4 linked regions of the Rhinolophus ferrumequinum genome follow. The protein of the gene in region 2 interacts with the protein of the main gene of each other region in a pairwise test. Links are inferred from orthologs where the notes say so. Each region holds a gene or a part of one and is shown on either strand. Other genes may lie near its edges.

Region 1 (7,022 bases), on a different chromosome or scaffold from region 2:
CCATTAAGTTTATATTACCAAAGGGCAAGAGATTTTTTTTCTCTGAGCAATCCTCAGTAATTCAGGAATCAATCAGAACCCAAGTTCACAGTTCTGTTGTAGCGACAGTAATGAGTGACCTATTAATAAAAACTGCAGGCACAACACCTGGCTGCAAGGCTAGGACATGGGGGACAGGTTGACTAAAGCTCCATCTGCCTGCCTGCTTTTCAGAGACAGACGGATACATATTGACTAGCCACCCAGAAGGTGAAGTGCACAGTGCTAAGTATTTTATCTTATGTAATTTCATTTAACCTGCTGTTGGAGATAATGGAACAGAAGTTCAGACATGATAAGGAAAGTATGCAAGGCTACATAACCAGTACAAGGTCCAACTAGCATTCAAATCTAAGTTGTTTCATGCCAGTTTTAGAATTTATTTATTTTTATTTATTTATTTTTTTATTAGTTTCAGGTGCACAAAACAAAGTTAGACGTTTATCATTTATACCCCTCAAAGTGTTAAACCCCCTCCCCCATCCACTATCCCTCTGACATTGCACACAGCCATTATATTTCCACTGTCTCTATTCCTAATGCTGTACTCTGCTTTTTGTAAATATACATATATATATATATATAAACTTGTAGTTGACATTCATTATTGTTCAGCTTCAGCTTCAGGTGTACAGTGCAGTAATTAGGCATCCACATCTTCCCTGAGGTGGTCTCCCTAACGAGACAAGTGTCCATCGGATACCCTACAACATCTTTACAACATTATTGATTACATTTTAAAATCATTTATTCTCCTGGGGGAGGCAGGTGCTGAGAAAAAAAGAGATCAGAACTCCTGAAACCGTGTCCTTTAGCAGTTGAGCAAGGTCACCCTCAGCACCTGTACAAACCAAAGCTGGCTGCACCAGGCAGCTCCTGTACCTACAACGCCATCATTTAACAATCAGGTATTTTTCCTTCTCCAGACATCCTCCTTGAGAATACAAAATGCTATCTGGGAAGGGTAGCAGAACACTCAACCTGAATGAGCTTAACATTTTTCCCACAAGAAGATTCCTCCGCATGAAAATACCAGGTCCTAGGGGGAATGAAAAGAACATTAAAAAGGATAACGGAGAATATAGGTTTGGTTGGGGACACTGCTTCCCATCTAGAAAAAAGAACTATTTGAATTCGGCATTCAATGGACAAAGCTAACCAAACCTGTGTCGTTTAGGTATGTACTAGTATTATTCCTTCTGCCAGAGCCCTTGCTCTTCATTCCATGCATTTCCTCCCACCTTCCCATCTTCCTAGTAAACTCCTATTCACCCTTCAAAAGCCTTGGCAGTTAATTTCTCCCTTTGCACAAGTTTTGGGTGTTTCACATTTGTCTTGCATTGTAAAGGGACTGTACTACAGTTACTACAAAATTGTGTCCATCTTCCCTACAAGTTTGCACGTTCCCTGAGGGTTGAGACCAGGTGTGACCTTTGCTTCATCCAGCTCCAGGCATATAGCTAGCAGTCAGTAAATGTTTGCAACATTAAAGAATTAATCATGGGGCGGATTAATCATGGGGCCACCGATTGACTCAGTTGGTTACAGCGCAGTGCTCACAGCATCAATGTTGCTGATTGGATTCCCACGTGGGCCAGTGAGCTGTGCCCTCCACAACTAGACTGAAAAAAAAAAACAAAACAAAATGACTTGACTTGGAGCTGATGGGTCCTGGAAAAACACACTGTTCCTCAGTATTCCCCAATAAAAATTAAAAAAAAAAAAGACTTAATCAGCCTGTGAAGATGCAGTTTGAATCCATTTCTGCTCAGGGTTCATTTTAATACCCAATGGGGATAGAGACAGCAACGGTTTAGAAAGCATTTCCTCCTCAATGAGTTATTCTCCCTTTCATAAAAGACGTGGGAACTAAGGTTCAGGGTAAGGGGTATGTTCCATGTCACACAGCAGATAACTGGGCTGTAGCCCAAACGCTTCGAATCTGAGCCTCCTCACCATACCAGGTTCTCGGAATTTCCTCACCCCACTAAGTTCCTGACATTATCATGCTTTGCGTGGCATCAATATGCACTGATGCCACCCCAGGTTCCCAAAGGGGGCATCAAGGACAACAAAAAAGGACGGAGCTGGCGCTGGTAAACGTCACGGGCTTCTGCATTAGGTATTCAGAGTACAGCCACAGGAGAATGAGCTAAGCAGGTACCTGCGTGGTCCCTAGTGTTTTGAGAGGCCTCTGGTGACCCCAAATGGCTCCTCTTCTTCCCCTTCCTGTATATGCATTCTCTTTGTTTACCCAGAAAAAGTAACTCAGGTCGTGAGGGCCGGGCGCCAGAGAGAACCGGTTTGAAGTGTCCTGCCTCTCACCGTGAGGTCACATCACTTAACCTCCTTGACCCTTCTTTTCCTTCTCAGTACATCGGACATAACAGTAACGTGCTCTCCAGTGAGGGCACTTTACTTATAACCTTACCCTGGCCAAGAACTATGCCCTCCCCTTGCAGAAGCCCAAACACTCCACACCTGAATCCCATGCGTGGCTCACCTGTTCGGTTCCACTGCCCATGAGGCATTAAAAGGGAAGTAGATTTTGAGGAGGGCGATAGTAGAAAGGGTCAGCCATAAAGAAATGTCTCAAAGGGGCCGGGTGGAATGCGGATGCCTTAGGAAAGTTGCAGGGGGAGGGGAAGGATTTCCTCCAACTTGGACCAACTCCGTCCGTCTCAGGCCGACAAGGGAGTCAAATGGGAAGGGTACCCCGATGTCCAAAGCCTGCCCAGGAGTCTTCCCCCGCGCCTCTTTACCTATGAGGAGGCCCACGGAGGTTGCATAAGGATCCCGGTGACTCTTCCCAAACGCCATGGTAGCCCCAGAGATTCGGGCCCAGGAAATCCGCCTCCACCGCTCTCGGGCTCCCGACTCCACCCGCTCGGTGTCCCTGGCTCCTCCTCTTCGCCCGAGCTCTTCCCGACCTCCCGGCGGAGGCTGCGCGTCTTGCCCGGCCGCTGCGGGGCGCCCGGCACCTGGAGTAGGGCGCCAGGCGCGGGGGCCGCGGGGCGGGGCTCCGGGACCCCAGCGCACCTGCTGCGCTCCCGACTCCAGGTGCGATGAGCGAGCGGCGGCCCCCTGGTGGAGCCCGCGGGAGGGGCGCAGGGAGCGAGCTCGGGACCCAGGTGGACTTCTCGCCCGGGCGGAGCTAGGGGCCCCGGAACCACAGCCTGGGAATTAGAGATCTCAGCTCTGATTCCGCCGCCTACTGGGCAAATTGCTGCTTTTCTCTGCGCCTGTTGTTCCCCATTGTAGAGAAAGAAATATGGTATTAATAACACAGATCTCAGGATTATTGTGAGAATTAGGGACGTAAACCGCTTAGGTCCGTGTCTGGCACCCACAAAATAAATATTTAACCACTGAATGAATCGAGTAACTAGAAATATTTACTTCCACCCCCACCTTTGCGGGGAGATCCGGGAGGGGAGGTGTGCTCCTTGCCCTTTAAAGCTGCAGGTGATGGATGGGCAGAGGGAATGTATTTGGATTTGGGGGGGGGCCCTCTCAGGAGCCGGCGTCCTTTGCCGCTCTCCTGTTCCTGAGGGACCACATGGCGCCGCTAAGTATTGGATCCCCTGTGCCTCCTGATCTTGCTTCCTGCTGTCAACTTGGGCCTGGTTCCACCGCCCTTCTTTGGCCTTGGAAATGATGACGAGAGATCAAAGAGGATTGGTCTGACTTATGTCCTGAGTCTTACATATTTTAGAATAGAAGTCAAAACCAATTGCCATGCATGTCAAGGGGCTAAGCGACTTTTTTTTTCTCTAATTCTGTCATTTTTAATTTTTCTCGACCTAAGTGACTTGAGAGTCTAAAACCTAGAATGAACTATTTTTGTTGTGATGTTATTTCTCATAATAGGGTTGGTCCTACCTGTAACTATTCTCTCCGCCTGCTATTCCAGGGTGAGTAGCTCTTTCAGAAGGTGCCATTTATCAACTTCCTTGGTCATGACGACAGCCTCTGCTGACATTGTTGAAAACCTCTTTGTGACATCATCAACCTAATCTCTATTCCACGTCATAGACTCTAGCAAAATATTTTGTCTTCGCTGAAGCCCATCAATCAAGCAACGTTAAAGAGAAAGTCAATTTGAGCGTTTTTTTAGGGCTGCTGGTTGGTGTCCGTGGACTTTCATCAGCGAATAAGAATTACGAAGGAACCAATCATCCAGAAAGACTTGTAACAAACTGATACTTCTGATGTGAGAGGTTGTTTTGGCTTTTATTTTCTGGTGTTCTGGGATTGAGGCACTGAGAACAGGAGAAAGGACACCCGGGAGCGTAGTTAGGACCTTATGGCTGGGTAAACAGAACCAGGTTAAAGAGTACTATCTGTGTTCTATCTCAGCTATGCCTGAGGAGAAGCTTTTCTCTCCCCAGGTTCCCGCAAGGGTGTTGTGGTGGCCACAGCCTTCACTGTCCATGCTCTGCCACTTTCTCCACGATTCCCTTACTCCCCATGGGTGAAAAGCAACTCAGTCAATGTTAATCTGGTCTGACAATGGGACAGTAGAATTCATAGCCAAGTTAAGAGGACAGAAGGGACAGACTTCCAGAAAGAAACAAGGGTTCAATTTCTGGATACCAGGAGCAAAATTTCACCACAATTTCAATTCCAAGAACACTTACTAAGCGTTTATTTATATGTAAGTCATAATGCTAGTTGGAAGCAAAGAAAAGAACCTTCATTTAAAATACACTAAGTGCCGGAAGTGGAAATCTAAATGTAGTCGTCACAATCCTGGAGGCAGGTAGCATTCACCTCATTTTTGCAAATATGTAATCTGAGATTAAGAAAAATAAAGCTTATAAATAGTTTGGATAGAGTTTGAATCATGGCTGCCTAATACTGAAGTCTCTATTATTGCCAGTAGGTGAATCTACTCAGTGAGCATGACATCTCATTGTTTAAAAAGATCTGTTTGATTCAAAGTGAGACTGCCTGAAGAAGATAGGAATAGGGGCAGACAGATATGTTGCTGGGACAGGGTTCTGCTATTCCTTTTGTACTTGTTCAAGAATGCTAATATTTTCTGTTCTAGAACTATATGCTAGGTATGTTCTAAATACACTACATGCAGTGTCTCCTTTAATCCTGTAATAACTCTATGAAACTAGTTTTACAGATTAGAAAATCCAAAGAAAGTCTGACTCCAGAAACTGTGACTTTACCCTTTATAATATGCAACTCTCATGGGTAGAGCCCTTGACTAGTTCACTCTTTTCAATAAATGGGTTCTAGGTCATGTACCTGAAAACGAGGCGACTGAACAAGGCAAGTACCCGTCTGCAGGACAAAGTTGACCCATCCTCAGGCTTGACACAGTGAAGACTCTTTTTCATTCTCTCATTTAACTCTGTTCTTACCACTAAATTTCTTAGACTGTCAGATCTGGATATGACCTTAGAAATCATAGTCTCTATCCCCTTCATCTTATAGATGAAACAAATGACAGCCAAAGAAGGGAAGTGACTAGCCCAAGGCCTTCCAGCTCCAGGCTAGAAGGATGCAACCCAGTGGCTTAACCCTAAGTCCCAAACTTTTACCACTACAGGCATCTCCTCTCTTTTTTAATATTTCAGTGTGCTCCCCCAACTTTCCCCACAGTATTTCCTCTAGCCCTCTCCTTATCCTTTACTTTTTCCGTTGGTTCCAGTTCCAAATGCCACCCACTTTGTACCCCAGCTGCCCCATTATTAATTTTCATAGTGATATGATCATCACATCTATCAGTCATTCCTCAGCCTTATTTATTTTCCCTTTCTGTAGTATGTGATGTCGCTCCTATGAGCCATTCTTGCCTCCGTCACTTTTCTATCCTATATTATGACTACCCTATACCCTATTTTCTGACTGCTACTTCTCATGATCTTCACCTGGCTTAATTTTACTCCCTAGCCTGCTAAACCTAAGTAAGCCACCCCACGGGTCCACAGTCTAACTTTTCCTCTTTTTCCATTTTCCTCAGGGACCTGCCTGTTGGCCCTTCTTTATGACACCTCTTCTGAAGACTCCCAAGAGAACTGAGCCCTCCTCTCTTGTCCTCCATATAGATTTCTTTCTTAGAACTCACAACGCATTATTCTACTTCTTTGTTTAGCAATCTGTTTGCTGCCTCCTAGATAGAAGCCTCTCAAGGAAATAGGACCCTATTCGTTAGACTTGGTATCCAGGCACTTAACAGGCCGTAAGGGATGCTTATTGAATGCATGCATGGCTCTCCAAAATCTTGAGCTCCAGTTCTTAATTCCCTCCTGGATGCCCTGTTGGAACCTTGACCTCGACATAGCTACACTTACTATACTCATCTCCTTCCTCTATGATCTCAATATCCTACCTGACTTGTTTTGGTGGGCGTGATTATTGATATATTGGAATCACAGGGGATGCTGTAAAGACTACTGATGCTTCAGTCCCACCCTCAGAGATTCTGATTTAATGAGCCTGGGATGCACCAAGGGCATCAAGATCTTTAAAGGTCTTTGAACGGGCTAATGGTACCACAATTTCCCAAATAAAAAATTTTGAAGTTATACCCAACTCTTTCCTTCCAGTCAGTTCCGGATTCCTCTGTGTTCTTTATCTCTCTCCTTCCTCTATGGACAGTGCTCAATCCATCAGTTCTTAAATGGCATAAGCCTTAATACTGTTTAGGGATGAAATTGGACTGAAGCTTGGATTTTCCCAAACAACCAAGACCCTGTGCATCTAAAGACATATTATTTATCTTTAAAATTGACCCTCTTTTATACAATGATTTTGCCCATTATTTTTTAAAACCATTATGTGCAAAGACAAATGTTGACTTTATTTCCACTTATTTTTTAATATATTAAATCTTGGCAACTCCTGATTCTGGAAATGAACTTCAAAGCTCAGCCTTCCCTGTCTTCCTGCTCTTGGGATCACCTCTATCAGCTTCACGTGAAAGGGCTTCTCTCCCCAACCTGCACCCCAAGGGCCATTTTGTT
Region 2 (7,175 bases):
TGTCAAACTTTGGGCTTCCCTGTTTGAATCGCCAACTTAAACATCTGTTCACTCGTCTGTCTGGTTTCCTCTTTCCTCGTGACTTGTGGGAAGCGTTTATGTCGTGGGTACCGATTACCTGGTGTTAGACGTGGTAAGTGTTTCACCCTTCCCCTCTGTTACCTCCGTCTCTAACGTAGGCAACAGAAGCTCGGCTGCCATTGGATAGTAGTGTGACTTAAATGACACAGTATGTGTAAAGCACTTACAATGACACCCGGCAAGATGAAGCACTCAGACATGTGGCTCATGTCAACTATTATTCAAGGACCCCAAGTAACAGGTGCACAGAATGCCCATCCAGGGCTCTGGGTGCGTAGGGTGCTCCGTGACCACTGGCCTGTGCCATTATGAGCTGGAGCCCAGACACAGGAAGGGTGAGGGCAGTGGGACTCCCATAACAACGTGGAAATGGACTGGACTCGGTGATGACTGCACAAGTGGTGACATCACTCAGGTGACACACAGGGTTGGGTGTCTGAATGTTGGCACCGGGTCTCAGAGAATGTAGGCAATGAGTTGGAGGAACCAGTGTTGAAGTTAGGGTTCCCTTTATAGTCGACTCTCAGCAGAAATACACTGGGCTGGACCCCTGGCCTCCAGCATTGTTTCTTCTTTAATTCTCCTGCCAAACGTGTCTTCTCTGCCCAGCTCTGTGGCCATACGGTTCGTCCTCAAAGCTCCGTGGTGTCGGCTCATTGTTACACCTTGCGGTGGCCCCAACGCCCACTCTAGGTTTGAAACCCCCTTCTCTGGCCCACCTAACTCCCATTTTCTCACCAGCTCCCTCTGCCTTTCTCAGGGATATTTGGTCAGTGCCCCGAGTGTCAGGTCGCCCTGGTATGTAGAACACCTTTATCCTGCGCTTGGCTCACCGAGCGGCTCTCGTCATCATACCTGTTACCTCCCAACTCCTCAACTCCTGCTCAGTGCTTCTCAACAGATCAGAGAGGGCGGTGACAGCTTTTCTTGGCTGTATCCTTTCCAAACATGGCATAGATTATTGAATTCATCAAGTATTGATTGGATCAATTCCATCAGAAATTGCTTTTTTGTTTGGTGTTAAGGTAGGGGTCTGATTTAAGTTTTTCTGTAAGTGTAGCCAATTGTTTTAGCCCATTGATTGAAAGTAATTCCTGTCCCAACTGCTCGGCAGTGCCAGCACCCTCATAAATCAAGTATCTGTATTTCATCTCACTGGTAAATTTGTCTATCCCCATGTCAGTATCAGTCTCAATTACTGTAGTCTCATAAGACATTTTTATTTCTCCTACGACAGTTCCTTTCCATCTCCTCCTCCTCCTTCTAGAATGTGTCAGTTATTGTTTTGTTCTTTCGCATTCATTTCAGAATCAGCTTGTTAAATTTCTTCGAAAAACCCTTTTGGAGTTTTAATGAAAATTTCTTCTGTAGGACAATTTGGGGGAGAAGTGACAGATCTGAGACGTCCTGTCCATGAATACGGTATGTAGTTCTCATTTTATTCAGGTCTCCTTCAATAACGTTTTATAACGTTAACACTTTTGCTCACTTTTTAAGAAGTTTTGTGTCCCTTCTATTCTTTCGTTGCTCTTTTCAATGGTATTTTACAAAACTGAATCCTTTGGTTATTGCTGGTAACTAGATGCATGTGCAGAAGTGTCTCCATTTGCCCTCCCTCCCAGGTCCACGCTCCACCTTTCTCTGCCTCTCTCTGTGCCCCGAGGAGCTGACGTCTACAGGCTGCACCACTGGGCTGTGTTCAGGGGAGACACTGTAGGAGGAGACAGGTCGGAATGCCTCTTCCTCAGACCCCACCTGCAAGCCTGCGGTTTGGCAGGTGGCCTCCTCCCTCTGCATGGCCCACACGTCAGCCCAGGATGCCTTTTCCTGGCTACTGCTGCCTCTCTGTCCTTTTAAGACCAGGAGTGGTAGTGGCTTCCTGAAGCTCAAATTTCCTCCACGCTTCAGTGTCTTGCTTGTTCACTTAACTCTGCCCTTCCCTTATAAACAGTCCGTTTATTAAAATTCCTCCAATTATCTTTCTGAGCATGCCATCTGTTTCTTGCTGGGACCCTGACTGATACAGTAATTGCCACCATAAGTGTCCCCAGAAACCGACTCTCCTAATAGGATTCTAGAATTGGGTTGCTTATATATTTGATGAGCATGTGGATAAAATCCTTGCCAGAGGGAAGTCGAGCCCTGGGGATCTGTGTCATGCAGTGGTATCCCAATCCCTCAAATGATCTCCAGCGGTGGCCTGGGACGTGGCGCATGTGGAGGGCGGACAGATGGGAGGTCAAGAGGCTGAGACACTGAGCTGCTTTGGCAAAATGGTGATGACACAGATTGTGCCGTGGGCTGTTTACTTCAGAAGACTCTGGGAAGTGGACACAGAGGAAAAGGACAATTCAAGCCTTGGGTGTGTCAATGCTGTCCCGTCAGACCACCGGGAACACACCTGTAACTCAACAGGGTGGGACTGTCACTCATTGCAGCAAAGGACAGCACACACCGCAGGGAAGCACAGGGTGACGTGTCAGAGGGCATTAGAAAGGATCTGGGCTTCTGTCAGTGATTATGGGGGAGCTTTGAGCAAGCAGGGTTCTGCTCTGGATCAGGTGCTGTCAGAAGCAGGGGTAGCCTTCTTCATTCTTACCTAGGAGGGAAGACTAGGGGAAGGCTCAAGCTGGAGTTGGTAAGCAGCAACAGCCATACCAGCCAGGAAAGGAGATGTTAGTCTTTTGGCGTGGAGGCTGTCATGTCGTCTGTGTTCACACATGACCAAGGAGCCATCATGGCTTTGTATTGATGCACTGTGGTCACAGTGGCCCCGACTGCTCTGATGTTTTGTGAAACTGCTTATGTTCAACAAAACAGAAGGACCAGCAGAAGGCAGGCCTTTTGCACTTCCTTCTCTGATGGAAAATAAGTCTCTACGGAGGGGAACCTGGAACGAGTGGTGGAAGAAGGAAGCTACGATCGTCAACCTGGGCCTCATCACAAGTACAGAAGATGGAGAAGCTGCAGACATAGCTTCTGTTTTTTCGGTCATTTCCCCTAACAAGGGGCATTGGTAGGTAACGCTTCAGTCCTTGCTTCACTAAAGACTTAGACGACATCACCCATGAAGATAAGGTCGTGCACGGGGCCTTGTTTCTCCTGCCCTGAACACCCATCTTCCCGAGGCCTGTGAAGCACGGCAGCCCACAGTCACCTCTCCTTTAGCTTGACTCCCACTTTTACAAAGTATACATGCAAGTGCTCCTCCCCCCGGAGGATTTTGGGTCAATCAAGGGCTTTCGTTCTCTGGCCCCTCAATCCACAATCCCCCTCACCGGGGAGGCTTGCACATTGGCAGGAGGCTGTCCATCCGTGGCTGGTATCGGGACCCTCCTTCTCTGCTCGTTGATACCAAGGTACAGAATCTCCTCCAAGAGCCTGGCGCTGCCCCTGGCCCCGCTCAGTGGTCTGTCATCGTGACCAGAGGCCCTCGGTGGAGGGAGGGTCACTGGCGCCCCCAGGCCCCCCCTCCCAGCAGCAGGCCCTCCTCCCTGATGACTCCCGGGTAAGGCCCCCCTGTTGTTACGTAACAGCTTTGCTGCCCGACTCACACAGGGGCCGCTACCATGGCACTGGCTTTTGCGAAGAGAAAGAGCAGTGACTGAACGCTCAGTCGGCTCGCAGGACACCGGAGGTCCCACTCAGATCTGTCGGGGTGCAGCTGGAGGTCAAAGGTCTCTCCTCTGCCCACGCCTGGGTGGCACGTCTTGCGGTTTGGTCTCCTGTCCCTGAAAGGCAACTCAGTGTCTTGTTAGCACCAGGACAGGCTCATTTGGGGCTGGTTGCGTTTACTGTCCCTGCGCCCGGGTCCAGCCGAAGGCCCAGGGTGGGGAGGGCCACTGAGGCTTCCCGGCGCCGCCAGGAGACCCGCTCAGCAGACCCCACAGTCCGTGCGGTCGGGGGGCCGCTCAGCCTGCGCACCTGCCGCGGGACCGCCTAGGATGCCCACCGCGCACTCCGGAGCCATTTCGGGCGGCCGCGGCGGGGAGCAACTGCGCAGGCGTCCGCCGGCACGGCGCGTGCGTGCGTGCGCGGCGCCGGAAGGGGCGGGGCTGCGCGGCGCCTGCGCAGTGCGCGGCGCGGGGCGGGGTGGCCGTCAGCTGACTGTGGCGGCGGCGGCGGCGGCCTCGCTGGGGACAACCGTCGGCGTCGCAGGCTCCGGCGGAGGGTCGCCGGCACGTCAGCTCTCGTTGGGCGAGGCGCGGGCCGGCGCAGCACCATGGCGACCACCGTCAGCACGCAGCGCGGGCCGGTGAGACCCCGGGCGGACGGCGGGCGGGCGGGCTCTCCCCTCAGGGCGCGGGCGGCGGTGCGCGTCCGTGGCCTCCGGGGCTCTCGGGGAGGCCCGACCACGGGCTCCGGGCTCCGGGGTGCGGCCCCCCGGTGCAGGAGGCCCTCACCAGGGTGGGCCCCCGGGAGGGAGGAAGCCCCCAGGCCCGGAAGGTCCCTCGGGTGGAGGACGCCCCGCCAGGGCCGGTCCGCCGAACGGAGGCGTCTCCTGCGCCCTGTGGCCTCCCCGGCACAGGAGTCTCCCGAAGTCCTAGTCGGTACCCCGGATGGAAGCGGCCCCCGCGCCCTGGTGGGTCCCGGATGGAGGAGGCTCCTGCGCCAGGGGCGGGTCCCCGGATGGGGACGGACCCTCGCCGGGGCCGGTTCCCCAAATGGAGAGCGCCCCCGCCCCGGGCCTAGACCGTCCCCCACGGAGGAGGCCCCGAGCCACGGACTCCGCCCGCTTCCCCTCCCTCGCGGGGGCAGAGGGAGGCCCCCGGGCCCAGCTGTGTCCCTAAGTGGCCACTTATCGCAGCCTCAGTTCCTTCCTTTGCAAACGAGAGGACGGGAGCTCAGGACCGCGGGCGGCCCTTCCCACCCGCGCTGTCTCCGGGGCTCCCGTCGGTCTCCACGGCCCGCGCGCTGCCCTGGAGAGCCGGTGTAGACGCGCCCTGGGACGGGGCCGCGCGCAGCTCTGGCAGGCGGGGTGGGGGCGCGTTGTCACGCGCCGGGAAGTTTTTATGGGCAGCGGCTCAAAATGTGCAGTAGACAGACGTTCCCTTTACGTGGGGAACGTTGTCCCGTGATGCCACCGTTGCCCTCACTCAGTCGCTCTGCCTGTAAAGCCCAGTCGCCCGCGCCTGCCCCTCGGCCCTAGGACGGGATGTTGACAAACGCTGGTGGCGGTTGTCCTGACTAGAGGAGAATCTTTTCCAGAGAGTATCTTTTCTGAGTGACGAAGACCCAGGTTCTGTTAGAAGTCCTGAGGGCTTTGCGTTGGACGTGACACACACACCGGGTTTCTCTGGAACCGGCCCCCAGGCGGCAGAGAGGTTTCCGGATTCCCTCTGCCTTTGAGCAGAGGGACGGTTCCCCTCTCCCCGTCCTCCCTCCACAGTGACTTACGGCGGGCTGACAGCCAGCCGGTTCTCATTGCTGCACAGCCGGCTGGTCAGAGAAGCAAGGGAACCAAACGAGCCGCTCCCTTCTCCGCGTCCCCCAGGGAGCAGTGGGCGCAGGGGGCCTGACCTGTCCCGTGTCCTCACCCACCTGGTGCGGACCTCGCTGGTGGTGAGTGTGAACGTGCGGTGCGGGGCGCAGTGGCCAGAAGTGCGCTCTCAGTAAGGGTCGGCCCCCCTGTGCGGAGCAGCGGTCGGCGCGGGGACTGCACAGAGCTGGGGCAGCTGGCACCACGGGACAGCAGCTGCGGGGTCGGGCGTTCCCGTCCCGCACGTGGGGCCTGGGCCGTCAGAGGTTCTGTCCCTCTTGCCATGTGTACCGTGCTTCCCGGCCTGTTCTCTGTAACAGGCGAGTGGCCTTATGTCCATGTGTTGGTGTGCAGCGCACATAGACCTGCAGATGTTTTCGGGGTGCTCTCCATGGCCTGTAAACACAGTAACGTTAGATCTGGGCCCGGCTGCTGGGGGCCTCCAGGAAGGTGTCCTCAGGGGCAAGGGTCTTGAGTGCCCCTGGAATACACGTGACTTACTCAGCCAGTGTTGCTGATCATGACATTTGGGACGAGCAGGTGCAGTGCCTGCCAGGGAGGGGGTGGGGGGTCTTACAGTGTGGCATGGGGAACCACTGGCACGCATAAGCAGGCAGACGAGCGCGGCGGGGATGGTCGCCGTCAGCTCTGTGGGTCTTAACTTAGGTATAAACAGTGGCCGGTCCTGGGCCGGGAGTTGGGGTGGGTAAAGTTCTTGGAGGGACCTGAGACAGGAATGAGCAGGACTTGTTAGACGAGGTGGGGTGTGGCGGGCTGCGGAAGGCCAAGAAGGGTCCTGAGGGCAGGGCCTGTGCCACTGTGAGAGAGGGACAGGCGGGGCCGGGCGCTGTTCCACATGGGAGGCCTGGGCTGGCAGATGGGTTTGCTCTGGAGTTTTATCTGCTCACTACAGTGTTACTTTTTTTAACAACATTTTTGCCTGGCACGCATCCTCGCGGAGACCTCCCTGGTAGCCAGGGTGCATGGACTCCATCCTGTCTGGGCCCTGCGTCCCTGTATGCTGGGTGCCGTGCAGGTAGACGGGTCAAGAAGCTGCAGTACCAGCTGGTGCTGGTAAAGGTAGCATTTGGCTGTGCTCACTGCCCTGGGTCCTGGCTGGGCAGCAGTCCTGAGGGAGCCCTGTGCCCTAGGGCCGTGTCCCTGCCTGAACAGGATGGGGTCAGCCCTGGCACAGGCTGCCCAGAGCCTGGACTCACTCACTGGGGCTGGCTCGGAAGCCTGACCTTGCCTCCCACTCCTGCTCCCGCGATAAAGGAGTGACAGGCAGAGTCCGTGGGACTGTGAGTGAGAAAGGGGAGTCACCAGGGAGGGAGGCTGAGGTGGCCCTTGTCCATGCTTGCTGCCCGTGGGGCGCCTGAGGGGTGGGTGAGATGGCGTGTGAGAAAAGGTGCCGCCCACGCTGAGCCGGCCTCACGCCTTCTGTCCTGCTTTCTCCCCGCAGCAGCTGATGGGCTTCTCTGCCTAAGGTTCAGCAGACGTGCTGTTTGTATCTCCAGGGTCACGTTTTCCCTTAATAGTCTGAGGATGGCCCAGCCCTGTGCTGTTTGCCCCACTTTTTAACAATGCTCGTAGTTTTCTAATGACAACCCTTTTC
Region 3 (7,910 bases), on a different chromosome or scaffold from region 2:
AGCTAATGGAAGTCTAGACCCTCTTCCTTCATGCAGATAAACCAGGAAATAAAAGTCCTTGCTTTGTTTCCAAACATTTGTTGGGAGACATTTCCATTAGGAAATGCAAGATGAAGGTGTGAAATGATTGTGACAGGTTAAAATTTACTGAGCTCTAAAAGCAAGAGTTATGAGAAAACAACCTGGAACTTGAAGGCATTACAAATTATACCATGTGAAGAATAGATGCAGAAAGTAGGAGACTTAATCTGTAAAAGAAAAGTATTGCTAAGGGAACATGATTGCTGGTTGCACATATCTGAAAGATCTCTACATCTTCATGGGAAGATGCATTACATTTTTCATGTAACAAATCCTTACCAGGACATGTTGACTCAATATGTGGGAAGAGTTTAACAATTAGGACAGTCTTAAAATAAAATGGCTTGGCTTAGAAGAAGTTCTTCATCCTTGGCATGACTCAAGTACAATCAAAGGTAATGTCGAGAGAAGAATCAGGCTCTGATCAAATAGTTGGACTAAATTAATGATAACCAGATGGATGTTTAAAAAATGAGATATTTGCCAGTAAACAATAGACAACAATGCTTCATACTCTATTTTATACATAGTGGTTCTTGTCAATAGTTCACTGAAAAATAAAATGAATAATCATCCAAAAGTAAAGTTTGAAAAAATACCTATATAGATATCATTTGATACCTATAAACTTCCAGATAGTATTGGCAGTATTTTTGAGATAATTGTAGTGTCATGAAGGAACTCGATCACTGTCTCATCAGCTGTAACTTTTTTCTTTTGTACACTCAAGTGGATCCATTATATCCTAAATGTCCCCACCACATCATTCAATTATCCATATCTTTACTCATATCCATACCGCTCTTAATAAACATAGGAGTAAATTTTGGAGATTAGTTGAATTGTATGATAGCTTTAAAACATTTCTGTTTTTCAGAAGGAGTATGATGGCACTTTGTGTAAAAGATTTCCAGTTAAAGAAAGTTAGATGTAGCTTGCATGACCTGGCCTGTTGCTAGCTTCCAATGCTTACATCAAACTTAAGAAGATCTACTATGAGTCCCAATTTCTCATACACTTGCTATGATGTGCAAAATCCCATTATTAGAACTTCATTTGTGTTAAGACATTTGTTGGGTACCGGTCTCAACTTATCATTGACCATAATGTTGTGGCTGAACTGGCCTTTGTGATTCTTAGTATGGTGGCAAGAGGCCCTCCGCCATAACCATAATGAAACTTTGAAAAAAAGAGGTTTATCATGTAGAAGTCCTGGAAATTACATGGCACAGCAGGGGTCACACAGCAAGGTCCCTGGGGGAAAGGAAGGGGGAGTGAGGGAGAGAGAGAGAAAGAGAGAGATAAAGAGAAAGAGAAAGAGAGAGAGAGAGAGAGAGAGAGAGAGAGAGAGAGAGAGAGAGAGACCGACCTAGGGTTCTGCTTTTATTAGGGTCCAGGGTGGGGGCCTAGGGTTTCATGGGCTCAGTATTATTAAATTTTGAAAATAAGAATAGGAATTTAAAGTGCAAGAAGAGAAAAAAACAAGCAGCTCAATTGGTCAGTTATGAAATCTCTAAAACAAAGGAATTGGGGGGTGGTTGCCTGCCTTTTTATGTAGTCATGTGGCTGGTAATGTGTTTGTTTGAGATAGCCATCTTTGAAATGGATGCCTTGGCAATCAAAGTATAAGTCAGGCATTTATATTATTACAAAAAAAGAGAGAAAACCCAATTATCAGGGATTATGTTACAATATTTCTCTATAGATTTCCTGTTAAAGGCCAACTAGCCCTTAAGAGATAACACATTATCCCATTGCCAGCCATTAGTACCTTCTCAGGTTCACTTGAGCTCAACAAACTACTGAACATTTGCTTGAGTCCAGGCATGCTGTTAGAAAATTGGGAAACAAAGATGAATCCACTGCCATAACTGCCGCCAAGGAATACCTGTGTAATTTGTTAACAAGTTTATTTATTTTTATTGCTTAGAATCAGAAATAATAGAGAGTATTACTTAATAGGCTGGGTTGTCCTTAGACAGTACTACTTAATAGGCGGAGTTCTAGACACAGAAAGATTGAATCCTAGGTCTTAGTCCTGGCTGGAACAACTATTAGCTTCATGACATTAGGCATTTAACTCAACCTCTCTAAGACAGACTTTCACATTCTGCAAAACAGACATAATAATATCAATCTATGGAAAGACACAATATATACAAAGCACTTGCTACTCATGTACGTAAGCTACTCTTACTGTTGCCCAGTTGCTTTATATTTAAATCATCCAGTAGCAGAGCCTGACACACAGAAGTTACATTAAAAATGTTTGGTAAATGAACAAATATTTAATAAAAATAGGTTACTTGCATTCAACAGTATATAGCTGCCAAGTATCACAAAGTATTCTCCCTAATATCAAGAATAGGCATTTTGATAGCTGTTAAATATTAGCCAATCTCACCATCAACCCTGCATGTGTGAACAACTTAAATACCTTTTTAAAAAAAACTGTTTTAAGTCCCACAGAAAATTTTAATGTAATTGATGGGTTGGGTCTGCATAGCAGCATTTTGCATATTCCCTAGATGATTCTAAAGGGCACACAGGGTTGGGTGCACTGACCTTTATATCATGGAAAAACAAGACATGAAACATTTATTTAATTACTGCCTAGAAAAACAATTTCATTCATTTATGCACATAAAGTTATATCCTCCAAATTCTATGAAAGACCATTTACTCAAAAATAAGCATGTACATTTTTTGAAAGTTTTAAAAAAAGGAGCCTATCTATGGCCAAATGTTGATAAATTGAAAAGGATTACAGGCATTTTAAAGGACACTCTGAAAAAATGATCTACATTTCAGTAGCCTGAGAATATAGATTATACACAGTATATAATGAGGAATTGAACAGGGCCCATTGTGCAAGCATTAAGAATTTTTTGATCGGGAAAGGATGCAATTAAAGTATTATTTTTGTAATAATAATATAGAGACAATGTGTGTTCTGTATTAGAAAGAGAAAAGCCTGAAACAAGGAACTGGTTAGAAAGTCTTGGTTACTAACAATACAAATTAAAAAAAAAAAAAAAAAACCGTGGGGAAAAAAGACATTTAGAAAAAAATTAAATAAGATTTCATGACTAATTAGATAAGACAGACCAAGAGTGGAAAAGAAGAAAAGAGGAATTCAGTGTTTCTAGATCTTTTTTACCAAACGAAAGTGGAAAGAAAATAGGCAAATTATAAGAAGACAACCAATTATTGTTTGTTATGTGGAGTTTTGGTTTCTTTTATTAAGAGGGAAAAAATAAATAAAGAAGACAATTTGGTTATGTCAGTTTTGAAATGCTAAATGTGACAGAAGACCATCCAATTAGAAATGTCAGGTAGACAAAGAAGCAGAACAAAACATTATGTGAGTATTGAAAACTGGAGATAAAGCTATGACAGATTTTCAAGTATATATTGAGCATTCCTCCTGGGCTCGATCATTTTACAGTTGACAGTTGAATTCCTGGAAGTAAAGTCTAGAAAAGTTGAAAAACAATAACAAAAATATCTGTTTTGAATGTCATTTTACATAATAAGACAATCAAAAGTTTTACTTAATCAACTATTCATCAGATGATGATTGAACATATGCTACCCATCAAATATATAATATACAGAGACTAAAAAGGTATCACCTCTAAGAGTTTATTGCGTAGTTTTAGACAGTAGGAAATCATAACATAAGCTGATATACAAAAAAATGGCAGGACTATATGTGCTAGTATTATAGCTATAGAAATGTTTAGGGCAGATTGGAGAGAGAAAATAAACTCATAGTAGAAGTGACACAATGGTGGGGGAGGAACTACAGTAAAATTAGGTGAAAGTCTTCCTGTAGGTATCTGAATGGTGCCTGATAGCAAAGCACAGAGGAAAGACTGTGAGTGGTAGGTCATAATTGTGGCTAAAATCATCATTATGGAAAGGAGTTGACTCACTCTGACAAACGCAACAGAAAAGCAGAATGATGCACATGAAGGGATTCAAATATAATATCTGCAAATCCATCTCTTTTCAATTGATTTGAGTTCTCATAGGTACAAAGGAATTTTCACATTAAAAGTTCTTTGTATTATCTAATTTCAATTTCTGCAGCCTCACTCTAAGCTTTATTTCTATCACAAATTCCTCCTGAAGAAACAAAACAAAGCCTCCAATGGCTACTCTAGAAAAATCTTAAAACCAGCTTTCAGACTTGAAGCCCTGAAAGTCTGAAAGAGAGTGATATGGGGAAGAGGTACAAACCACCACTTAAACTTTGTGTGATATAATTTTAAATATTTATGGTACTCAGTAGTCCTATTTTATGAAGACCAAATGATCTCAGTCCTTCATACAAGCTCTGACAATTAAGTTCACGAACTTGTTGCAACGTCGTTGCTAACCTTTTTTGATATCAGAGGGATTAGTCATTATGAATTTGTACCAACAGGATGGTTAACAAAGTTTACTACTTGGAAATGATGAAAAGGCTACGTGACAAAGTTAGACAACCTGAACTTTTAGCCAACAATTCATGGCTCTTGCATCACGACAATGCACCAGCTCACACGGCACTGTTTGTGAGGGAGTTTTGAGCCAGTAAAGAAATAACTGTATTGGAACTCCCTCCCTACTCACCTGATCTGACCCCCAATGACTTCTTTCTTTACCCGAAGGTAAAGGAAATATTGAAAGGAAGACGTTTTGATGATATTCAGGACATCAAGGGTAATACGAAGACAGCTCTGATGGCCATTCCAGAAAAAGAGTTCCAAAATTGCTTTGAAGGATTGACTAGGTGCTGGCGTCGGTGCATAGCTTCCCAAGGGGAGTACTTCAAAGGTGACCACAGTGATATTCAGCAATGAGGTATGTAGCATTTTTGTAGGATGAGTTCACGAACTTAATTGTCCGACGTATGCAGAAATCAATTTCCCAGACATTGAATTATCTCAATTGTTTCCCTGAGATTACCTACAGACCCTCCAGACATCTCAAATTACAAATCTAGACACAGTAATATGAATACTTAGCATATATTTGTCTAATTTAGAATGACATTTTGCTTATCCCTGGAGAGCTATTCTTTAACTGCAGGAATCTGAGGAGTCAAGAAAATGACAATACACAAAGGACAATTTTTAATGATACCACCTTCAGGCATAATTATAAAATGGGCAAATATCTTCAGTGCCCCCAGACTCATAAACTTGTTCCTCTTTACCCCAATATATGGTCATTCTCTTCCTATTCTATTCTTAGCTAAAACTCGTCTCTCAAAGATACCTTAATATAAGTCAGCTTTTCCAGCTACTTCTCCTGTCTGAGGGTAACCTGCACTTCCATTTCTAACCTTCCGAGATTCTAAGTCCTCAGCACTTATTCAGTAGGTAAATGTTTAAGCATTTAAACAGAGCTGAAAACTCTAAAAAAGCCTGCATTTGAATGGAGTTCAAAAAATTCTAATAAAAATCAAATTGCACTGTTTGGGGTAGAGTTCTGGCATCAGTGAGCGGGTGATAAGCAGAACTCGGATTAAAAAAAAAAATCTGGCCCTTGAAATTGCCAAACCACATAAACAACTGACAAGAATACTGTTTAATCATGCCTTTAAGTGTGTACACAGGTGACTGGCCTCTGGTCTTTCCATTTAAACTTTAGAGAACCAAATATCATCATTGTCCACGAGACACTTTGAACAAGCCACTGGCTTAATTGGGGGTGAGTTCAGTTCTATTGACATTTCCTTGTGCCTTTGTTTCCTTTGGCTTTTCTCTGGCTGGCAAACAACGTGTCTCTGTTCTTGTCTGTAAATGTCTTTATTGATTTCTGTCATCATATTTATTTTCCTTGTACTAAACTTTAATTCCTGGTATATATGCTTCAGGTGACTTTGTCCTTTATTGCCATAAATGACCTTAGTCTATGCCCTTCTAAGTGGAATTCTTACAGAAGCTGAATATACCTCCTAATGTTGACATGGGGCTTGAGGGATTAATTTGTAAGCTTCTGAGCTGGCACTGAATTTCTTCTAGCATTTAGCATCCTGAAAGCTTGCCACATTAAAAAACATCATCGGTAGGTTTTAACTGATTCTCAATGCAGAGATACCACTATGTTGCCTTGCTTTCATATGGTCCTATGTATTGGCATTACTAAATAAATAGTAAGAACCAAACAAATGGCACCTGTACATCACACATTTGATCTCATAATTAGGTTTCAACAGTTATAGCGCTGTTCTGACAGAAGCAATTTGAATACTTTTATTTTTACACCTCCATATTTTACTTACAAAGTACCAGGTATGCATCCACATTTATGATTACCAGTGAGCACCATAACCACAAATCCATCCATTTAATTTGTCCCTTAGCCCTAGTATCTGTAGCCTTTCAGTTATTTGGAATGTCTTTTGTATGGCATGGATCCAGTGTGTTTCGAAAATTTTTAACGTAGCATGGTAAATTACAGTTTATATTTTCTATTAGCAAAAAAGAATTACACTAAAGGAAAAACAAAACACTAAAAAAATATATATCTGATGAAGAGAGCGCCCCCATGTGGTGATGCACAAGCTGATCCTGCATGTGTTGGTAACCGCCTAACCTTTATGGCTGACAGGCAGTTTTATCATGTCATGGGACCCATCATGTGCCACTGAAGGGGTTACCAATTGATTTAACCTTAAAATCTATCTTAGGGCAACATCCTAAGAAACTACATACAATCAGTTGTGACTGTCACTTAAGATAAAATTTTAGCTCCCGTAGTTAACTACAGACTAATTTAGGTAAAACACCCAAAGGTAATCAGATTCACCGGGAACTGGTAAGACTCATGTGTTCAAGTCTCTGACTTTGTATTACATTAATCTTTACATTTTACTAATTCTATGTTAACAATTTTCCAAAAACAAGCAGGATAGGAAGAAACACTTAATCTTTCAACAATACCACATCACCAACAATATATTTTCTCTCTCTTGCTCACGTAAACACACACACACACTCACACACACACACACACACACTCATACACACATCGTGCTTGAGCATTATTTCATTTAGAGATCTCTTGGCCTGTTACCTGTAGCTTATTCTTATCAAGACAATCTAATGATATTTATTCTATCATCACCCCATTTATACACAGAGTCATACAGTTTGTAATGTTGACTGGTTCTATACATAGCTCATGGACACTGAGGATATATATATATATATATATATATTTGTGAATGGGAAATATATATATATATATTTGTGAATGGGAACCCTCAAGTAGTTGGTGATGTTTCAAGAGTGAAATTGTAATTAGAAATCATAAAGAACCGATAGCATCAAGGCTATCATTAGATCAGAGGAGCTCAAAAAATGTGCTGATACATCAATGACAGTTACAGGACTTGAAATTCAAAGGAAGGCTGTGACTGGACACTGAACTGATTACCTGTTATGAAAATTGAGTGCTAGGTGTTGAAATGAATTAAGTGGAAATATTTGCAACGTTAATAATAATGATGGTTACAACTTCTATTTAATGAGTATCCATTATATATCAGACTACAATAAAGTACTTCCTAGAATGTGTCTTAATTCTCACAATAGCCCACAAAGCAGATATTACAAGTCTTATTTTACAGATCAGAAAATGAGGGCTTGGAAAGTTTAGGTAGCTCACTTGAAGTCACATAGGAAATACATCACAAAGCTAGAATGGTGTTATGCCAATGCAGTTTACTGTCTCCCACTGGAAAACAATATGGATGGAAAAATTTTAGAAAAAAGCATTAGTAGCATTATGGGAAAAATACATTTGAGTCATCTGCATTTTAATAAGAAAGT
Region 4 (7,560 bases), on a different chromosome or scaffold from region 2:
CTGCAGCTACTCTTCCTCCGTTCCAGGCAATCATGTCTGTCCTCCCCCCACCCCACCCCACCCCACCCCACACGCTGCTCAGTGTGTAGGTGGATACCAATTCAAGTTGGTTATTCATGTGCTCCCCCTGAGAAATGTGAGCTTGGGGCCGCAGGATGAGAATACCCATCAGAGCTGGCCGCTTGAGATGGAGAGGAACTGGGGGACCGTGGGCTGGTCAGGCACGTGGTTGAGCAGAGAGAGTCAGAGGGGGATGAGGCAGATGGACAGAGAGAAGCAGAGATGGGAACCTGGGTGATTCAGGAACAGAAGACCAAAGGATAGACAGACTGATACAAACAGAGGCTCCCTTCTTCTTGCTGGCTTTTCAGCCCCTAGTGTCCCTAACTTCAGGCTTTGTGAGGGTTTCTGTGGCCCTTTCTGGGAGAGTTTCCTGACTTCTTGCATTAAATCCTCCTTTACTTAAACTAATTCCAGCAGGTTTCTGTTGCTAACGGTCAAAGGGACTTGGCTGAGGTACTGCAGGCAGAGGCGACAGCTGTGGATTTGGTTAGTTCTACTTTGAGGCTGGCACTGGGACGCTGTTCCTGGCTGGACAGAGCCACAGCCCTGGGGACTCAGGGTGCCCACCCTCGCTCTCATCACCAACCCACCTAGCAAGAACATCCAGAAGGGCTGGCCCTACAGGAAGGCACTCTCCTGTCAGCTTACAGATAGCTTCCAGATTCTGCCTCCAGAACCCTCTGGAAACTCAGTCCTCCCTTCTACTTTCCACCCTTGCTTCTCCCCTTCCCGCTGGCTTCACCTTCCACCTTTGTCTGCACGTGTCCCCCATATCCAGGCCTCCCTGAACCTCCTGTCCTCTCTGCCCTGCTAGTCCTGAGGCTGGGCAGCCCCTGCACTCTGTCCGTTAACCACTAAGTGCTTCTTGGAGAGACTCCCGGTGGCTGATGGTGTCCACCACAATCTTGCCACCTGTGTGGACAGAGTCCCAGAGAGCAGTTTCCAGGCTCTCGGCCTCACGTGGACAGGTGCCGGCTCGGGTAGCAGATGGTCATCAGCTATGACTAGTTGGCCGTCAGCTGTAACCAGTTAGCCATTGGCCACTGATATAACTGCTGTGGCTATTCTTGTTAGTTGGCTGGTTGGCAGAGAAGTGGACGGTGGATTGCGGATCATGTGGATCCTACTTCCTGTATCTCGCCCGGCCGCCAGCGAGACTGGGGTGCAGGAGGACCCCTTGTTGGGGTACAGGCGGATGTTTGCTTTTGTGTCTCGACCAGCCACCATCGAGAATATAGTGGTATGACTCCCCTATCTATAGCTCCATGGGTGTTCCTTTTTGGCCTCACCATATCCTGTGTTCTTGTGCAGGGAGCAGGACCAGAGACCCTGCCTGACAGCACCTGGTCTTAGCGCCTGCCACTACCCAGCTGCCTCCCTCCCGCCTCCCCCACCGTCCACGTGAATGCAGCTTATGCAAATATGCATCTTTAATTTCTGGAGTGCTCATGATCAAATGTCCCTGTGCTTTTAGAGCTCACGCACATTTCCTTCTACCCCCAGAGGGGGCACAGCCTCCCCTAAGCCTACTACCTGATCCCTACAACCCCACCCCATGTCCCATCTCCACCTGCACCTTCCACCTTCCCATTCTCAACAATCTGTCAACATGGCTCCATCTCCTTAGGGTGATTGGTCCAGCACGCACCTTCCCCCGCCAAGATGTTTCAAGTCCTTGCCTCTCTACATCTCCCCGCTCTTCTGAAACAAATTTTTCTAAGATTTCCCATAATTTGACATCATGTTGCCTTTAGGGGATTTTAATGTGCTATATGTGGCAGATGTTACCTGCAAAGTATTTGTGCTTTTTCAGAGAAAGGTGCTATATTTTGGGAAATGATTTTTAGTTTTTATTTCAAAATTCAGTTAACTGACTTCTCATCCCTCCCAGATCATCATGGCCTGGCACCTCTGGCAGATCAAGCTTGCTTTCAGTCTAGCCCACAATCGCTGCAACGTGGAACAGCTGTTGTGCACACAAGAGCAGGATTTGATCCTGACTGTGCATCCTTTGGCAACTCACCTCCCCTGTCTAAGTCTTGGATTTCCCATCCATAAAAGATGAACCATTCCTCCCTCCTACATTTGTTTAAGATCATTTATTTAGTCCACATACGTAATGAATAGCTACTACATGTTGTGACTCCAGCAGACAGATCTCCTTACCTCTCTTTCAGACATGAACCAGATAATCATACAAGTATTTAATTACAAACCATGGCAAGTTTGTAAGTGTAGGGAACTGTGACAGCACACATAAGGGGCACCTGGCCTGGCCAGGGGCAACAGGGCTGAGATCTGAAGGGCGAGTAGGAAAGAAGGGAGAGCAAACTGCGCAATGAAGGCCCTGAGGTGGGAGAGAACAAGACATGTTTCACTTTGGCTGAAGTGATGCAAGGTTGGAGAGGACTACAGAAGTTGTCTTATTATCCTAGGATTCCTGGGAAGTTCCTGGAGCTTAATAAGGGAACTGACGATCAGATTTTAATTTTAAGAAACTCATTCTGTCTGTACTACTGAGAATGGCAAGAGTCATGAGATGAGAGATGACCAGGGTGGTGGTAAGATGTGGATCTCTAGGAACTTAATGTATATGCAGGACTAGTCATCCACAGCTTTCGGATAAGAAAGTGGAATCCAGTTAGAACGGTTAGGTAACATGCCCAAGTTTACACATCTAGCATATGGCAGAGAAGGGGAACATGACTCCAGAGCCATTTTCTCAATCATGCCTTAGCTGTACCCAGGGCACTACAGACCACTGTCACAGCTCACGATGTTTCTCATAGCTGTTCTGGGTCAGGGCCAAGGTCTGAAAATCCTTCCCGAGGGGGATTTTTGTCAGTAATTTACCACCCACCCTGAGTTCCTGTTGACTTGCCTGATGACAGTTCAGCTGGTGAAGACCACAGATAGGAGGTGGGGAATGCACCACGGTCCGTGCAGTAGCCTTCTCACGGAGAAACAGATCCAGAATTGTCCTGGAAAGAAACAATCTGGAATCAACTGGATCTGAAAAATATAGCCCCTACTGGCCATGAATTGCGGAGAAGAAAACCAATTGGCCCCTGTGGTTTGTTGAGTGTTTACTGTGTACTAACGTGTTTCCCCGAAAATAAGACCTAGCCAGACAATCAGCTCTTGCGTCGTTTGGAGCAAAACTTAATATAAGACCTAGTATTCTATTCTATTCTATTCTATTCTATAGAATAGAATATATTATATCTAGAATATATTATATCTGCTCTTATATTATATCATATTATATAAGACCAGGTCTTATATTAATTTTTGCTCCAAAAGACGCATTAGAGCTGATGGCCCGGCTAGGTCTCATTTTTGGGGAAACATGGTAAGTGCATCAGCTCTGGAAGCCACATAATCCTAGACAGGAGAATCCTAATGCCCTAATTTCCCAGATAGGAAAACTGAGACCCAGGAGAGGAAGGAAATTGTCCAAAGTCATGCGACAAGCAACTGACAAGACAGACATGGAACTCAGGTATCCATATTCCCAACCAAAGCACTTTAAATGAGACGCAGATGAAGAATAAAAATAAGAGAAATAATCTAATGACAGTTAAGAAGTCGGATATAAGGGTTAAATTCTTGAAGAAGTTATCAGTGGACCTTTCTTTCGGGTACCTTTCTTTCTATGAAAGGGATCAGGCCAGAAGCCTGGGGGATGGAACCCAATAAAAATCTCTTCGAGTCCTGCCCACTGAAGAAATGCTTCCTTAGCATTTCTTTCTCATCCACATGCCTGAAAGCCCAGGACCAGTGTTTTGATTGTCTTAGCGAGGCTACGAAGTGACTAGCAGAAGACCTGTGGGTTCATTTTACAGATGAGAAGGGCGGGGTCGGACTCCTCGGAGAAAAGTCAGAGAAAAGAGTTAAGTCGGGGCGCTGTCTGCCCTTGCTTCAGCTCCTGGGTCTCACCTTTTCAAGAGCAGGTTACCGGGCTGGTTCCGCGCAGCAGACGCTTTGAACGGTTGCTAGGGGAACCAAGAGCCGCCACTCGTTGCTAAGGGGAAGTTAAAAGGTAGACATCCTGGGTGAAAGTTGGGTCACGTGACAACATTTCCGGGTGTGCCAATACTCCTACTACCAACCAGCAGGAGAGAAAACAAATGTTTCTCCAATCAACACTTTCTGTGGGCGGGGATATTCCTAGCCCCGCCTTTTCTCCCGCCTCCTGCTTGAGTGATTGACGCATCTGTTTTCCAATAATAGTAGGGATTCTAGAGGGACCAATATGTAGATGAATCAAAATACACAGACTCTCGTTCGGAGGCGGGCCAAGGGAGGTGCCGCTACGCCTGACGGAGATTCCTTCGACCTAGCTCGCTCCTCCGCCCAATCGGACGCCGTGGGGTAGGTGGAGCTTCGCTGGGGAGGTGTAGGGACCAATCGGAGGTGGATTGGGCAAACGTTGCCCAATAGAGACGCGACAGGGGGCGGGGCCAGAGGCCGGGCGTTCGGCGTTCCTGAGGGTGGGGCCGGGGGTTGAGTGTCAGTCAGGTCGCGAGCGCAACCGGGGACAGCGGAGACCCCGGCGGCTGACAGGGTTCCCGGGCCGCTGCCGTGTTGTCCACAGCCCAAGATGGAGTTCCTCCTGGGGAACCCGTTCAGCACCCCGGTGGGGCAGTGCCTCGGTAAGGCGATGCGAAGGGCGGGCGTCTGGGTGGGCGACGGCGGCGGCTGATGGGGCTGGTGAAGACCACGGGCCTCTGCGGGGCACCGGTGCCACCTCACGGGCGGGCTGGGCATCCTTGTCGTCGGGCCTCTGCCCACGGAAGGGCTGGGCCTGCTCACGAAGCCGGTGCCATCCTGCCAGGCAGCGCCCGAAGGCCCAACTTGGAGTCGGAGATGCTCCGCGCGTCCTTACCCCTCAGGGCCCAACCCCTCCTGGCTCTTTAGAGGTGGTGCCAGCGGCTGGCTAGTCGGCTACCATCTCGCCTCCTGGGAAATGCCACTGCGTGCGCCCTTATTCAACTCGCTGCCACTGCCGTCAGGACCAGTTCCTCCAGACCTTTCTCCCTCCATCCTTGGCCCTCCGTTTCAGTACTAGTAGCGCTCGGACTGGGCACCCTCCCAGGGGAGGCTCCCTGCTGGAAGATTTGCTAATTAGAGCTGCAACTCGGCTAGGTTGTGGGAGGGACCGGGATGGGGGCGGGGTTTCTAGAGGGTGATGATCCTGGCGGGGGCGGGGGGCGCGCGGGGGGAATGGCGTGCCTGCCCTGCCTTGGGGGACAAGGGAGGCCATGTTATTCAAGGATAAGAGCGCTGGACAGGGAATCAGGAAGCCTGGGCCTCCAGTAGGGGCTTCGCCAGTGACTCTCCCTATGACCTTGTGCGAGTCACTGCCCTTTCTGGTTTGACACTTTCCCTGTCTGTCAAATGAGGTGTTTGGAGGTGAGGTATAGAAGTAGGTTCCTCCGAATTCTAAAGTTTTGTATTCCTGGTAATAGTCTCTACTCATGACTGTGGCTTTCCTGCTGTGTGAAATCACCAAAGCTGAAATCTTTTGGTGGCAGTGTAGAGAAAGGGGTACTCGGCAGTACCTGTTAATCCTATAGAGGGGGTCAGGGCACCTGGAAAACGGCAGCAGAAGTGACCAGTATCTTGGGTAAGGAAAGCCCAAGGCCAGGTGAAGGAACACCAGAGTGGCCACCATATGGGATTTCCGCACTAAAATGGCAACTTGCCTCTTCACCCATGGCAGGAGCTTACGCCAAGTGATCAGTCCAGAATGTTGATGAGTTTCTTTTAAAACGGGGTTGGTCCTGGTTGGTGGAAGGACTGGTAGAACGTCTTTTATGAGCAGGGACCTTTGGAGTCCCTATGGGCCTGGCTGGTTTAGGCAGTAATGATTTGTTTATTTCCTGCTCTAGTTAAGAACTTTCAGCTTACTTTGCAGCCTTTAATGGGGCCTGTGAAATTATTGAGACCTCTCCTGTTGGCTAACTGGTATTTGGGAACCTTTCTTTTCTTTCTATTATAAGATCTTTGAGTAGACAGACACTGGGTGCTGAGAGAGTCTTTTCCCACCTTCACAAACTACTGTGTCTCTCTAGAGTCTCACCCATCTTTTTTTCTCACTTCTTTTGCTCGGGTGCTCTTTCACTACAGCCATATTCCTAAAACTCATTTCTCAGTTGGATGTTGAATTCCAACCTGCTATTGGAGGAAGCCAGTAAGCATGGGGAGGATTTTTTCCCCTTCTTTTCTATATCCTTTACAATAGGAAGCTCTACACCTTTGAAATGCCAAGGTAGTTGATGAAGGATAGAAGTTAAAGGGGACTTAAAAATACATAAATATAAGGGATGTAGGGGTGTGTAGTGAGAGCATAGCGCGTGATGCTTCTGCTAGGAAGTCCTGGCCTTTGAATTTTGCCTTGCGCATGTGTTGGCTGTGGGATCCCAGAAAATTGTGTAATGCTTCTGAGCCTTAGTTTGCTGAGAGAGAGAGAGAGAGAGAGAGAGAGAGAGATTGGTTTGTACTCATAGAGTAGTGAGATTTAAGTGAGATGATGGATATAAAATACTTAACATAGTAGAAGCTCGATAAATTGTAGCTGTTGCTGTTAATAACAGAATAATTAAGTTAGGATCGAATTTTCTATCTGGAGAGGATACGTGGGACAACTGGCCTGTCTGCGTCCTGTGAAGCAAAGTACCCTCCTAGGCCCCAGTGTCCACGACACGACCATAAAGAGAATGGAGCCTCCTCATTGCCAGTTAGTCAACTGGCAAGGCCTAGGAGATTTCACAGTTCAGTTCAGTTCTAATGTATATTCTGTACTGTTGTGACAAAGTGTAAAAGTGATTTTCATGACACTTAGCAATGTTAGTACGTTTTTTAGAAGTATGTGCCAGGGGGTTGATGGGAGGGAGGGGAATACAGAAATGAAACAACAAAGCTAATGATTAAAAGCAGCGACTATGGTTTACACAAAGCAATTCTACAGCCGTTCTTTGCTCATTGCAGCTGCTCTGGGAAGACATTTTATTGTCTTCCCACATTAGAAATGAGGAAACTGAGGCTCAGAGGAGTGACGTGACTGCTCAGCTGGTAAGAGAGAGAGCTGGAATTTCATAGCTGTCCTGGTGCTCAAGGGATTTCCGGCAGCAGGAGAGAGGACAGCGCTACATTGCACTAACAGAGGGCTGCACCGTGGTTAGTTAGGTGCTCAGGACTTGTTGGTGCTGGGAGGAGTCGAAAAAGGACTCAGAAGGGCTGGGTGATAGGGCAGGTGTCTTTGAGTCTGAGGGCTGGTCATGACGATGGGTGGGAATTCCAGACACAGAGGAGCAGACCCTGTGCCTGGGGACAGGTGAACGAGGCAGGGAGGGGAGTGTGAGCACATGGAGGCACGACTCGGAGTGGACAGAAGTGATTGCGGGGAACAGTGGCAAGTAGGGTATGAAGCCCTGGGTGGGTGACATCAAAGACCATATTCTTCAGCTAACTTCAGCTTTTAGTCTCTCTGGA

The links.
Region 1: the proteins of TOLLIP (region 2) and TOM1L1 interact in binary tests that used the Homo sapiens proteins (3 or more experiments, as listed by UniProt). The link is inferred for Rhinolophus ferrumequinum from reciprocal best matches to the Homo sapiens genes TOLLIP and TOM1L1.
Region 3: the proteins of TOLLIP (region 2) and ODAM interact in a two-hybrid assay, tested with the Homo sapiens proteins (2 studies listed by BioGRID and IntAct). The two-hybrid records come from large-scale screens. The link is inferred for Rhinolophus ferrumequinum from reciprocal best matches to the Homo sapiens genes TOLLIP and ODAM.
Region 4: the proteins of TOLLIP (region 2) and TOM1L2 interact in binary tests that used the Homo sapiens proteins (3 or more experiments, as listed by UniProt). The link is inferred for Rhinolophus ferrumequinum from reciprocal best matches to the Homo sapiens genes TOLLIP and TOM1L2.

What each region holds. Positions count from the first base shown.
Region 1 is NC_046304.1:30,011,071-30,018,092, forward strand, and holds the start of TOM1L1 (TOM1-like protein 1), read right to left. Parts: upstream 3,001-7,022; 5' UTR 2,860-3,000; coding exon 2,802-2,859; intron 241-2,801; exon of another isoform or gene 19-240; intron 1-18. UniProt on the Homo sapiens protein: Probable adapter protein involved in signaling pathways. Interacts with the SH2 and SH3 domains of various signaling proteins when it is phosphorylated. May promote FYN activation, possibly by disrupting intramolecular SH3-dependent interactions.
Region 2 is NC_046294.1:836,198-843,372, reverse strand, and holds the start of TOLLIP (toll-interacting protein), read left to right. Parts: upstream 1-4,165; 5' UTR 4,166-4,303; coding exon 4,304-4,336; intron 4,337-7,175. UniProt on the Homo sapiens protein: Component of the signaling pathway of IL-1 and Toll-like receptors. Inhibits cell activation by microbial products. Recruits IRAK1 to the IL-1 receptor complex. Inhibits IRAK1 phosphorylation and kinase activity.
Region 3 is NC_046288.1:28,148,262-28,156,171, forward strand, and holds the start of ODAM (odontogenic ameloblast-associated protein), read left to right. Parts: upstream 1-4,893; 5' UTR 4,894-4,932; intron 4,933-5,721; exon of another isoform or gene 5,722-5,784; intron 5,785-7,910. UniProt on the Homo sapiens protein: Tooth-associated epithelia protein that probably plays a role in odontogenesis, the complex process that results in the initiation and generation of the tooth. May be incorporated in the enamel matrix at the end of mineralization process.
Region 4 is NC_046304.1:850,399-857,958, forward strand, and holds the start of TOM1L2 (TOM1-like protein 2), read left to right. Parts: upstream 1-4,542; 5' UTR 4,543-4,666; coding exon 4,667-4,718; intron 4,719-7,560. UniProt on the Homo sapiens protein: Acts as a MYO6/Myosin VI adapter protein that targets myosin VI to endocytic structures. May also play a role in recruiting clathrin to endosomes. May regulate growth factor-induced mitogenic signaling.